Linked DNA regions of Drosophila melanogaster. Changing the gene in region 2 together with the main gene of any one other region gives a genetic interaction. Each region holds a gene or a part of one and is shown on either strand. Other genes may lie near its edges. The genes, in order: Csk and cpa.

Region 1 (6,954 bases), on a different chromosome or scaffold from region 2:
GGATAGCGCAATTGGGCAAATAAAAAAGTGGCCAAATAAAAACTCTGCAAACATTTTTTGCACAATTCCATCAATGAAAAGCAAATATTGCATAAACATTTGCCTCATTATGAGGATGAGATGTATAAATGCAGATGAAATGGACAACGACAAACAAAATACTTTTAAAAGCGCACAGTGGTCACACGATACAGTGGCCGCAAAAGGAAATACAAGACTTTTGATTGTTTACACAAAGACCGCTTCTGTTGAAATCATTAAAAATATCCTAAGGCAAAAAACATTTTCCCCTTAAAAGTGTGCACAAAAGTCTGCATTACGAGTTACTACTGTATTTGTTTTGACTATTTTTGGGTCGACCATTTGCAGCTTCTTTATGTTTGTATTTTGATGCTGTTGTCTGAGGTCAACTAGTTGGCTTCAAAACGAAAGCAAAATCCGAAAATATCGTAATAAAAAAAATCACAAATACTACGCATTTTGGTTCGTTCCAATCAAAGCGAAAACAAAAACACGTTTTACAACTTTGCGGCGCGAAATTCATTGTTGTTGTGTTCGTTTTTTATTTTTATTTTTTGAATAACAAACACATGCACAGGCACACGCACACGCACACACGAAGTTATATACAGAAATGCTCATATATAGATATAGCCAACAATCGGGCCATGAATGACCGAAGCGATGCGTACAACAAAACCGATAGCCACAGTAGTAATTAAAGGCAATAACCGAAGCGTGGCGCATCGTAGTTTTTGTTACGGGTTTCCGTTCATAGTAATGCCTTTTGTTGTTGCTGTCTTTCGGTCAGTTTCTGCGTCGTCGGCAAAAATTTTCGGTCGCTGACGTCACACCTAGGCGCCACAAAGCTCCCCCCACTACCCACTGTCATCCCCCCCTTCTCCCTCTCTCTCTCTCTCTCTCTCTCTCTCTCCGGGGTTCTATGTATCCCGTTTGTTTGTGTATTGCAACATGCGTGGGCGTTATACTCCAACTGTATCGGTGTGAGTGAGCAAGTTTGGCTGTGTGAGGTCAGTGTTGCGTGAACTTTTCGCATTGGAATGATGATGTACTAACTTTTGGCGCCCACTGTTCAATATTCCCTTTATTGCGCCTATTACGACTATCTATCTCTGCCCATTTTCACTTGCGCTAATTACGCCGTTGCATGACCACTGTACTCGGGACTGATTGGAATGCTAATTGGAATTTGCAATTTTATTTATTCCGATTGGTCATACGCCATTACTTCTAGGGCTGGGCAGGTGATAGAGATAGAGATATATATTCAGTTCAAATTATATATTAGTCATATTTAGCGATGTCTAAAATAATTACGTGAATGCCTTTCTATATGCATTCCATTGTGGCTGTCTAATATACATATAATTTTGACTTATTGAACAACTGCCAAAACATCTGATCCAATTTAAACCGTACGAAAAAATACATTTCCCTGAAGAAAGCCTAAATCCATGCACCGTTCAACAATTTGTTTACGTTGACTTTATCGTATTAAAAAAAGGCTATCGACCATTTAATCTTATCATCAAACAGCTGGAATATGCATTTACGTTTATCTGGGAACGCGGTGCAGAAATGTGTACTTTATGTTTATCTGGAACCGTTGATATATGTAGATACATTCATATGTTTCGCATTCTTGAAATTATTACTTTCCTCGTTTTGTTGCCCAGCGGACACATTTTCTTCGCATATTAAAGGTTATTTTTTCCTTGCCATCTGTTTGTTTGTTTATGTTGCTTTTGCGGGTATTTTTAGCACAAATCCCTCGCCTTTTGATCTACTTGCCATTCGGGTTCGCCAGGCAAATTCGCTGGGAGAGCTGGTGCATGAGCACGGTTCCGACTTGATGCTAATTGCTCCGCAAATATGCAAGAAATGTAAAAGAGAAAAATCGGAGAAAATCACGAACTGTGCAACTGCAACTGCAATTGGAACTGCAAGCGCTGGATGCGAAAGAAACAATAAACATTTTGATGTCTACATTTTTGCAAACAACTGATTCGAGAGCGGCAACAAATTGCCTGGAAACGGAGACGAAAAGTAAACATGCAAGAGAAAAACTATTTGCCATACAAGTCGTTGGGAAAAGGAGTGTGGCGGGGGGCACGGGGTTTGTGCGACCAATAATGGGGGAATTAATTAACATGGCCAGCGGCGGCAATTAGACCAAATAAACGAAACAGAAAGGAAATCGATCCGAGTCACAAGCCTCCAATGTTGCTGGATGTGTGTTTTTACAAAGCTGTGATCGTTTTGCCTCTTGAATCTCCGATATCACAAAGTGCACTGTGCGTAATGATTTTAATGAATTTAAGGTATAAATATGTTAGGCTTATGTAGAAAGTACAATTTGATATATATAATATAATAAATTATATATGTAAGTCTTACAATTTTTCTTTAGTTTTTACTTGGGATCGCTAATAATGCGATTAAATAAACTAAATTTCTTTTAATTAAGTTTTCCCGTGTAAATATAGGCGACCGCAGAGTGGGTTACTTTTAGCTAGGCCAAAAGCGAGACCGCAGCAGCTACTTGAATGGCCAAAATCGGCCTAATGAGTTGGGCAACACATGTTTCGATTTGACTTCCATAGCGCGACGCTGCGAAAAGGAGAACCGTCAGTCGGTGGCCAAATGTGCAACAGGTGGGCGATCGCATGCGAGCGACTGGTCTTATCGCATGCAATAAATGCACGATAAAGAGAAGAAGCCGGCTCACAAAAACACGAAGAAAATCTGAGACTGAGCTTCGCAAGCGGCGCTCTCTTTCTCTGAAACTGAAACTCGGAGGTTGATTTTGTGTTTTTTTTTCTTTCGTTTCATTTTGTGTTTTTGGTTTTATTTATCGTGACTCAGTCGCGGCGGCAACTTCGTGCATCGCTTTTCAGTTGAAAACTTGCAGGCAAGGCGCGCGGTCGCGTTTCGATTCAAAAATCGAATAGTAAATAGAGAGAATAGTAAAAGAAAAAATAAAAATAAAATCGCTTGCCACGCATGCGCAGCTCATCATCGCGTGTGTGCGAATTGGCCAATGAGTGAATCGATTGCAATTGGCTTTTTGCAATACATAATAACAATAAATTATGACGGTATGCAAAGTGGCCTTTTTTTGATAATCCGATCCGTTCAGCGAAAAGGCACAAAAGGCGAACTATCGTGATGTAATACCGCGCGAATGCGAATTGTTCATATCGCTATTGTAATAATTTAATAATTAATTATACAGGCGGGAGCTATTTTTCGGCTTCGCCTCAAGGAAGTGATTAATGCAAAACATTATCAAAGTGCGAAGAAAGTGAAACAAAAAGCGCTGAAAGATCAGCATGGCTTGAACATACGTATATACTCGAGATTTGGTGGCGCAATGACCTTTGTGTGTTTGTTGTTTGATTTTATTTGCCATGTTGGGGATGTTCGCTTAATTATGGGTTTTGGCCACATGTATCGGACATTAGTATGAATCTGTGTTTCGAGTGTGTCCATGATTAATTCAAAATTGCTCAAGGCATGCACGGTCAAAACTGAAGTTGATTTTAGGGCTTACTGGTCAAAGTCAGGCTTAGCTTTCAATTAATTATGTAGTTAGACTGCTACAATTAGTTTAAATCTGATTAGGATTTTCACAAGACCCCATATCGAATGCCGAATTAATTAATTTTAAATTAATAAAGGGCTGTTTTGGTTGCCCAATGATTTTTGCACAAGGTGGCCTTTAATTGATCTGATCACCTTTCTAAAATCATTCAAATTCAAGCTCTTCGCCAAACCATGTAATTTTTTCGTGTGCAACTAATGAAGACGATCGCGTCGCGGCTGCATATTTGATTGTTTGAAAGTCTCGAATGAAAGTGCCTTGGCAGCATGTTACTGTACTGTACACTTCCCTCCCCTCACCGATTACCACTTTTTTTTTTTTTTTTTTTTTTTTTTTTGTTTGCTTCGGGCCAACTTCAATCACAGAGTGCTAATTGTTTTCTCAGGTCTCCGTGGATTGAATTCCCCCAGTCGACAAGTTCCCATTACTGCAATTTCTTCGCTTATTCTGCCATTCTGCTCGCTCTCTAACTGCACTTTTTAATCCGATCCCAAATCGCAGATCGCAGATGCAACTGCGGCGGATCGAGCGCAGCTGATCTCGAAATTGCATGAATCACTCGGCCTAAAAGACCCTCTGCACAATCGATTTGCACGCTAATTTTGGATTTGGCGACGTGCAGACACTCGACTTTGACAAAATAAAAACTGGAAAAAAATAAAGACTGCAAATTCGAAAACATTGTAGGCTGGCGTGTCGGGGCATTTTCAATTTTCCAGCGCATTAGTCATCGCCGGTCTAATCGGCCAACAAAAAACTAAAGAAAAAAAAAAAAAACGAAGAAAAAAGCAAAACCGGAGCCTTAAACTGTAACTAGTTTTTTCCAACGCTCTCTGAGCTGAGAAACTAATCCGTCGTCCTGCATGAATCTCGCACTGAAATTTGTATCTCCAAGCTGGCTGGACCAAGTGAAAGTGGACAAAAAAAGAAATATATATGTAGAAATAGAGAAAAAAAGACTTCAAATACAACTGCAGCAGACGCGTGAAACAATTTCTCATATTTTTCTTGGCTCCCCGTACACTTCGGTTATGTGTTTTCCATCCACTTATTCAATTTGCCATTCACTGCACACAAGTGAAGACGAGCTTAACCCCCAAACTGGCCGAAGATGTGCCCCCAAACCCTCCAAAGCCCCCCAAAGACCACACTTAACACTCGAAAGCCAATGGCGCATTTCATTTCTCGGCTTTGGACTCTTTCGTTTTCTTGTAATGCGTGCCAGGCACGTTAAAGTAATTGTACAAATTAATTTATTAATTAAGCCACTGGCCGGAATGGTCAGAAACAATAGCGAATGCTAAATGCTCTTTGTCTCAAGTTAAATTGCCGATCATTTGTTTTTTTTGCTCCAAGTCAGAGCTGCCGTTTTGGTGAAAAGAGGAGGGTATTCATTCGAGAAACTTTCACTCTCCGCTTGCCAAAATTATGTATGCAACAGGTATTGCCGCAAGGTTTTAATAAAACCTATTCGAAACGCAGCTCCAAAATCCCCAACGCTCATTTCGAGGATATCCGGACCAGCAAACTTACGCATCTCGACCAGGTTCAAAAACCCGACCCATTGTCTTTAGCTCTTCTGTTTTATTTTGGCTTTTCTCCTCGCTTATTGCCCACTTTGTCTCAGTCTCAGTCAACGGTTTAGACTTTTTTGGCCTTTATTTTGATTCGACTTTGTGGCGTTGGCTTTTCATTTTGCATTTCGTCAGCGGCGACACAAACTCGTTGTGTCATACATAATTCTGTTATTGTTTTATTTAATTAGTTGCGTTGTCTTTCTTGTGCGGTGCGCTTCTTTGGGCGACCGAACGCTTTTCCCACTCCGAAAAATAGAAACACTCCATCGTGCGGAGAATTTCATTTGGCCGCCACCGTTCCTTTGTGGGTCATGATAAGCAATCACTTTCCACGTGCCCAATTCTGGCTCATTTGAATAGTTAATTGTAAGTTGACATTTACCTAGGAAAGTTCAAGAAAGTGAAGATGCAGTGAATGTTGGCAAATATTTGGGAATTCTATGATAAAGATTAAACTTAAAGCCAACTGATATCCTCTTCCCTTCTGCCCCTTTGTATATCCATAAGATGGGCAAATAATTGAATCCTGCTGCTTACAAACTAAATGGCAATATCAGTGCAGAAATATCTCTTTTCCCCGCCAACTTTCCCAACATTTGTCACCTGTCTTTAGGGGATAGACAATAGTTTTGCTTAGCTCACTGCGCAGTCGACGTCGACTGCGAGGTTCCCACGCCCAAATTATTTGCACAATATGTAGCCAGAGCTCTCCAGTGAATTCCAATTCAATTCAGGCGGCTGGTTCGTGTTTTCCCAACCCAGAGAAATAAGCCAACATGGAATGCCGAACCAGCATTTGGCCCAACCAGCATTTTTCGCTGTTTGTGGAGCACTCCAAGCCATTGTCGACTATTTCAGTGAGCCGCTGACAAACCGTTAATGTGGCGAATTGACTTGCTGAGGAAAAAGCTAGCCAAAAGCCAGTACAAAAAAAAACAAACATATAGATGGCAAAGAGTTGTTATTATTATTTAGTTATTCCTCGCAATGAAGTCAATTTCTGTACGTAGCTCGGTTTTTTTTTCATCATCTAGTTTTCAACCTTTTCCATCCAGGCCGGGCTTTTATTCCATTCCTCTTTGTTTTTTTTAGCTTGAATTTTCTCTTTAGAAATTTTCCATTTGCGCTTTTTTTTTGCTAACAATTATCTGCCCTGGTCTTTTCTATCGATTCCGCCCAGTTGTCCATTGTGGATGGAGAATCGACGTATCCACATGCTGGCCGATGGCAAATCGAAGCGCTTACAGAACCTTAATTAGTATTATTAGAAACGAAAACAATTTGCCCGGCTTTGTCCACTACGGACTGGGCATTAGCCTCGATTTCAGTTCTACAACAGGCTGAAATGGCGAATTTTTATGTTTGTACTATCTGCTACTGGGCACCCACAATGGCATCCATTAGAACCAACTCCCATTTTGATTTCACTATGTGTATATATTGATAATTAGATGGTAATTGGAAAGTATTGGAAAGAATTTTAACTAGAATTTGAAAAGGTCTTTTGTAGGGATCATACAATTAAAGTTCAACCAGAGGTTTTTGCGCCATCAAAATCAGAACTTAAGTTAGTGCACTAGAAACCATTTAAAAAGCGGACTGACAACGAAAGTAAACGCAATGCGGGAACATGGTGACAACAATTAAGATAACCTGCGATGGAGTGTTCATCCAGTCCAACTCGTACCTCATGCCCACGCCTTCTCCCAGCGGAGCAGACGCCACGGTATCGTCATCCTTGGAACGGGTGCT
Region 2 (6,921 bases):
CTCCTCCCGCTCCATCATCTCACACAGTTCGTTGTAACCCAGGACGCCCGGCTCGCGGGAGTAGTTTCCTGCAATTCCCTTGCCAATATGCGGCGCTCCTGGCTGATTGCCCTCGGCGGTCGCTAATGTGAAGGAGCGCCCGTAGAAAGGAACTCCTAGAATCAGCTTTTCAGCCGGAGCACCTGCTTTCAGCCAATACTTGACTACGGCGTCCACGTTCAGCTGCTGTTGCCGCCCGCTAGAATCACTGGCATCCTTCTCAGCAGCGTATAGTGGAGCATTGATGCCCACCACCTGGTCCCACGGTCCGTGAAGGTCATAGGCCATCACATTAATGAGGTCCAGATACGGAACCATAGCCGGAATGTCGTACGATATTTCGGCGGAGAATTGTGCGGAGCCCACGGCAGCACTGAGTATGAAACCAAAGGGTTCCAAGCTGAGAAGGCGTTAAGGGTCAGAAAATGGGCAGCACATACAACTTCCATCATTTCTTACCCCTCCTTCAGCTCCTTTAGAAAGGTTATATAGTTCGAGCGATCCTCGTTATCCAGACTGTGACGCTGGCCAGGATACTCCCAGTCCAGATCTAGGCCATCGAAACCATGGCGCTGCAGAAACCTGACCACATCATCCACGAACTTTTCACGCTTCGAGGGATCACGGGCCACCAATGAGAATCGCTTGGAGCCCTCGTTCCAACCACCCACAGCGACGAGCGTCTTCAACACGGGATTCTTTAGCTTAAGCGCATTAAAACTCTTGATATTTCCGCGTCCACTATTCTCCTCAAGATCCAGATAGGCGTCGATCACGCGAAGCTGGCCCGTCTCCTCGATGCCCAGGAAGGCGTAGATAAGATGGGTGCATAAAAACGGATCAATATCCTCCATACCGAACTTGCCCAGACCAGGTCGATAAACGGACCAAGTGCCCTGGTAGCAGACAACGTTCTCTGCAAGGGGATTTCACTGATATTCCTCGAAATATGCAAATCTGTTATACTTTTACATACTTGAGGAGTTGCCTTGTGCAGAAGATGATGCTGCCATCAGGATTACCCCGAGGAGCAGCTTAACTAAACCAGATACGCTCCACATTGCTTGACCACTAAATGAACACTTCCCGCAACTCCATGACTTTTATAGCGACTCAATTTTATGATAAGACGGTGCAATAAATGTATTTGCAATTCGCTTTTAGCAAAATAACATGGTGTTTGCACACTTGTTGCTCAGGAGAGCATCGCAAACAACATGGGCCGCTGTGACGGTCGGCTGTGTCTCCAAAATCAACGATAACACCTAGGGCTATGGGTTCTAGAACTTCTTTAGCTTGGACAGCTGATTGTTGCGCCGCAAGGCCAGTTTCCTCAGGCGGCGCCAGTACTGCTTGGAGTTGGGGTCCAGTTCGTCCAGCGGAACTATGCCTTCCGTATTCAGCGTCCACAGCCAGTCGGGATATTCCGAATCCGGTTTGATCTGTTCAGCAAAGATACTCGTACAGAAGAGTGTATTGAGGAATTGAAAGGGTAAACTTACTTTGATATCTTCTCCTGTTTTCATGTAGTTACTTCCGCACACATAGTTCACCAATTTGTTGGCATCCGTTTCCACGGGTATGACTTTCTTCTCCATGATGGGACCCAGCTTGCCAAGCTTTTTCTTCTTGCCCGCTGTGGAATGCATTTACTATTAGTTGTTAACTATTTAACCTGGATGTGGAGGCTCACCTGGCGCCGCCGGTTTTGCAGCATAAAAACGTGCCCAGTTTCCTATCGCTGGGGCTATCAATCGCTGCCTCGCCATCTGGAAAACTGCGGTTAGGCTGGTCATGTCTGCTATGTGCTTTATTTAATCCGTTTTCGTCACTTTAATAGAAAAACAAATGATAAATTACAGATATTTACAAAACTGTGCGTTTTGTTGTATAATCTGCTAACTATAAGTGTGGCACTGCAGCCCTGGTTATAAAGTATACGACCAGTCAGCTGATTTTTCAAAACAAATAACTATCGAAATTATTTTTAAATGAAAAGCAATTTTATGAGCAATTTTATAATATGACTTAATTGTCACTAAAACAACATAACAATAGATGATGTTGTTATATTTTCTGCAAATAATTTGCATATAAATGCATTTAGAGGTGGACTTCGGTCTTAATAAGCCTTTTCACATAACGATATCGACCAGCTGTCATCGCTAATTCGACGCCGGCTATACGGTATATTACACAAGTAACAGCAGCTGGATTGTAAATAAAAAAGCGTTAGCAAGATGGTTGGACTCAAGTTTCCGTCGAACCGAACACTGGGCAATATTTGTGTCTACGGTGCGGTGGCCTCCATATCCGCTGTGATGTACATGAAATGGAAGATGGAGGATCGGGTGAAATCCGCAGAGTACTACAAACTGGCCTTGAAGGCACTGCGGAGCCATCGAGGAGCAGTTGGTCTCCTGGGTGAACCCATCAAGGACTCTGGCATCGATCTGTCCAACGCCAACAACAATTGCAATGCGGAGGAGGCGCGTTGTGAGGTGGCTGTGCGGGGCAGCAAGGATAAAGGTAGATCCATCGATTTTGAAAGCAAATCTTTGGCGTTTACCAACCTTATATTTGCAGGAACTTTATACTTTTGGGCGTCCAATCAGCCGGATAGAGGCTGGCTGATCGATCGACTGGAGCTGGAAACAAAACTCAACCCAGAGAAACGATTTTTGCTTAAAAAATCCGAGGAACTAACCTTCGATCTGCCCGAGAGTATAACCAAACAAACTGCCCAGCAAGTTGATTCCAATGTCATTCTATCCGCATCGGATCAACAACCAGAAACACATTCAAAGTGAAGACAATCCGAATGTCCGATTCAATTAGTTTATTCTCTTTAAATTTGACTAATTCAAGCAATCTTAAATGTTTTATAGTTATGTTATTTTAATTACAAATTTATTGTTTTTATAAAATCAAAGTCTTTAGTTATTGTTTGTCAATGGAGAGCTGGCAAAAATGATCAGTGGTTTAGCATAGTTATTATTCATGCTCATACTAGGTGGTTGGTTTGTGAACAATCGGGAAAGCGAAAAACTTGAATGAGTGCTCCTAATGATACCACTTAAAATAGTCGAGAGTCGGCTGGTTGGTCTTCAAAGACACGAAGAATTGACTGGCTCATCGAGAGCGCAGATCTCGAGCTTGATTCGTTTAAAATTAGAATAATACATAGGTCAGAGGACATGATAAAATCCGCGTTTAATGCTCTTCTTAAACGATAAAGGCGACAATTGGTGGCGATCGTGACGTAGACGAGGCGGCAGTGCATCGTTCACCGTCAGGCTAAAGTCATCCAAATCCTTGCAATCAAATCGTCTCCGATCGTACTCGATATATGTGTAGTTATGTTTACGCACTTTCGTCGTTGTATAACACAGTATAAATACAGGCCGTATATATATATATAAGTAGGTATATGTTCGTATGTATATAGCCAATTACAGACATTTGCTTTTTCGGCAGGCACCTGCACCTGGCCGCCCTCGTTTCTCGTATTCCTGCTACTTCGTTTCGGATGCTGTGGTGTTAATGCTGGTGATCGGTTCCTATGCTCGCTTGGCCATGGCAAGTGGAAGACTATTGGGCCGCTTTGTCGACTGTGTCCGCTCCTCTTCCGCTTGCACCTCCTGGTCTTATTGCGTCTTCAGTTCCTTGCCAATGCTGTACGAGACGATTTTGCTCCAGTCGATCTTGGTCCTGGTGATGGGCAACTGGCGACGCATTGCCTTGAATGTCGTGTCCGACATCGTCTGATAGTTCTCCGAAATGGCCAGCTGGTACTCATTCTCGGCGTCCTCGATCAGACGGATCACCTCCTTGGCCACCTGCTGCTCGTTGCTGACCACCACGCTTTCGCGGCACTCCTTTGAGGACACCAGCTGGACGTTGCCGTCCTCGTAGTAATGCACCTGCACCTTGAGCACACCCTTCAGTTCGGCGGTTCCGCTGCCCGCCTGGAAGGTCACATGCCACTGGGAGCGCCATCGGCCATTCCAATAGTTCTTCGGCTGGAACTGGTGGTCTTCGATGCAAATGGTCAGGGTGATCTGGTTGCCCTGCGCCTTTCCAAAAACAGAGCTGACCTGTAGAGAAAATGTTACGGGTTATTGTAAGCAATAGAGCGTTTTTCATTCAACTTACCCCGTGTCTATAATGACTGGCAGTGTAGGCGAGCGTCTCCAGGTCGAGGGCCGCCCTCCAGGGCTCCGCAGTGGCATCTGCCTCTACGTCCTGGTAGTCGGAAGCCTCTTTTCGGAGGTGGTCGTATTTGAAGGCTTGCTTTGTGCGCGGGTCGTAGAAGCGACCGTTTCCTGGAATGCAATTGCTTATCAGTGTGGGGCTCAAGATATCGACCGAAAGCCAAACAATGTGTGTAGGTGACTCATATGGCAGGCTTTGTCCATTTAAGGGCATTGATGGAACTGAACTCACCCAGATCGTTGTGTTCCGATATGATGGCGTTATGATCGGTGCCCTCGATGCGAACCGGAGTCAGCTGGTCCTTGTTGTATTGGGCGAAGGCGTGGCTAGCCCCATCCTTTAGCAGAGTGTCATTCTTGAGGAGCTCCCGCACATCGTTGAACACTTCGTTGAACTCGCCGGGCGGCGCATGTAGGATGAAGTCCGATACGATGCGCACCTTCTCCGCATCGGTGATCGGTGTCTGCTCCATAGTTCCACTGGTGATTCACGAAATCGGGGCTGGGCGGTTGTTTGGTTTGGTCTGGTTTCCCCTCCGGTTCCTAGGGTTCTACCTTTCGACGGGATCTTCTTGTGGAGTGGTTGGAAGTTGCGGTGTCGCTGGAACTCTTCCTTGACCGTTTTTTCGGCGCTGCAATCTTTTTTCTCCGCAATTAATGGGCCAAGACGATGACGATTCGATTCACTTTTTTTTCCACTCTTTGCTAGGGATGGGAAATATTTGTGTACCTGTACCGGATGCGATTCACCGTATTTTACGGGCAGTCTACACTGCTCCATAATCCGACGGGTGAATGGCAAAAGTCTTGGCGCGTTACTTGAATTGCAATAAAAAAACTTTTAACGATGTAGAATGTAATACATTATAGAAATAGTTCCTCGAGACCAATAAATATCATTGCCTGTTCAAAACCAAACTCAATCAGAACTTTTTTAAAGCAAATTATGTTATTGTTGTACATGGTAGCTAGTTTTGGTTATTAAATATTTTTCAGTTATATAAGTATTAAAGTATTGATCAACTCGTTTAAAATTAACCTGTTTGTTTGTGAAAAATAGTTGTTAATAATTCTATTTGAAAGCCCAAGCTGGGCCATTTTTATCTTCCAGCTTCCATTTTTAAAGAAATATTTGTTATATTAAATCCAGTGTAATTGATTCACATCAACGTATTTATCGAGAAGTGTAGACAGTATATAGTATCGATAAAACGAAAACATCGAGATTATTAACCGTTAATTATCGATGACCGAGGAATCGACGGTGTCTCACATCTCTAACGCCGCCCGTTGTTTTTGTTGCATTGTGTTTTTGCTTTTGAATTGAGCGGTTGTCTCGCGCGTCGATCGCAGTTTCAAAATCGGTGTGGCTCCGCAGCTTCGTTGTAAGTCGACAATAAAAGCGATCGAAGTGAAAGAAAATACGTTTTGCGATCTTTTTATTTAAAATAATTCGCCAGAAAGTACAAGTTCACAACGAAATACCATCGAAAAGTGCCTTTTTACCAAAAGTCGTTGGTAACACACATACCAACGCAGCGAACCGAACCACACGCACACAAATGCGCGCGCTTGGCGGTGTGCGTGTAACCACTTTTTTACCTGGTCTTACCTGTTTGCGGTGCGAAAGAGAGGAGGCAACAGAAACGGAGAAAGAGAGTGCCCAAGCGGACGAGTGAAAGATAAAAGTGAACGAAAATATCAGCCAGAGCAGCTGCACCGAAATCGGAATAAGTCAGTTAACAATCAGGGCGCGCACTGTACGAGTTCGATTCGATTGATAATTATTGAGCGGTTGCCATGAAAATGCAGTCCAAACAAACGGTACACTGAGAGAAACGAAACAAGAAGAAGAGTGCAAATAGAATAGAATAAAAAAGAAGTGGAAGTAGAAGTGGGCAACACAAACAAAAGTAAAAGGTGTGTGAGTGAAATAATACTGGGTGATTCACGAAGAAGTGCTCAAAAGTGTTGCGGTTGAAAAAAAGAGAGTCTGCGATGGCGGATCGCCGCTAGAGAGTATGTCCACCAGTGTCCAGCGAATGTCCAGAAGCTACCACTGCATCAATATGTCGGCGACCCCGCAGGCCGGCCACCTAAATCCCGCCCAGCAACAGACGCACCAGCAGCACAAGCGAAAATGCCGCGACCTTGGCAGGCGACTAATCCCCGCGAGACTCCTCCTGGGCGTTATCGTGGCCATCAGCCTTCTGTCACCCGCCCTCGCACTTCACTCGCCGCCGGACAAAAACTTTTCCGGCGACAATCGTAAGCCCGCCTTCAAAAACTGCGCCGGATACGCTCCTAAGGTCAAAGAGGAGCAGCCCGAAAACACCTACGTTCTCACCGTAGAGGCCGTCGACCCTGATCCCGACCAGGTCATTCGATACAGCATCGTCCAGTCGCCGTTCGAGCGACCCAAGTTCTTTATCAATCCCAGCACGGGCGTAATCTTCACCACCCACACATTCGATCGTGACGAGCCGATCCACGAGAAGTTCGTCTTCGTCACCGTCCAGGCCACGGATAATGGTCTGCCCCCACTGGACGACGTTTGCACCTTCAACGTTACCATCGAGGACATCAACGACAATGCACCCGCCTTCAACAAGGCGCGCTACGACGAATCCATGTCGGAAAATGCCCAGGTGAGTTTCCTGGCCCACTG

Evidence for each region.
Region 1: of cpa (region 2) and Csk, changing one enhances a phenotype caused by changing the other (phenotypic enhancement), as found in Drosophila melanogaster (one study listed by BioGRID).

The regions. Positions count from the first base shown.
Region 1 is NT_033777.3:11,642,953-11,649,906, reverse strand, and holds the start of Csk (C-terminal Src kinase), read left to right. Parts: upstream 1-2,930; 5' UTR 2,931-3,061; coding exon of another isoform or gene 3,062-3,119; 5' UTR 3,120-3,191; intron 3,192-6,701; 5' UTR 6,702-6,832; coding exon 6,833-6,954.
Region 2 is NT_033778.4:21,055,827-21,062,747, reverse strand, and holds cpa (capping protein alpha), read right to left. Parts: upstream 4,962-6,921; 5' UTR 4,727-4,961; coding exon 4,486-4,726; intron 4,365-4,485; coding exon 4,195-4,364; intron 4,137-4,194; coding exon 3,687-4,136; 3' UTR 2,865-3,686; downstream 1-2,864. Other genes in the region: Cht8 (chitinase 8), read right to left, coding at 1-439, 499-955, 1,016-1,100; mRpL54 (mitochondrial ribosomal protein L54), read right to left, coding at 1,320-1,481, 1,542-1,675, 1,733-1,835; CG15653 (uncharacterized protein), read left to right, coding at 2,280-2,568, 2,626-2,849; shg (shotgun), read left to right, coding at 6,275-6,901. UniProt on the Drosophila melanogaster protein: F-actin-capping proteins bind in a Ca(2+)-independent manner to the fast growing ends of actin filaments (barbed end) thereby blocking the exchange of subunits at these ends.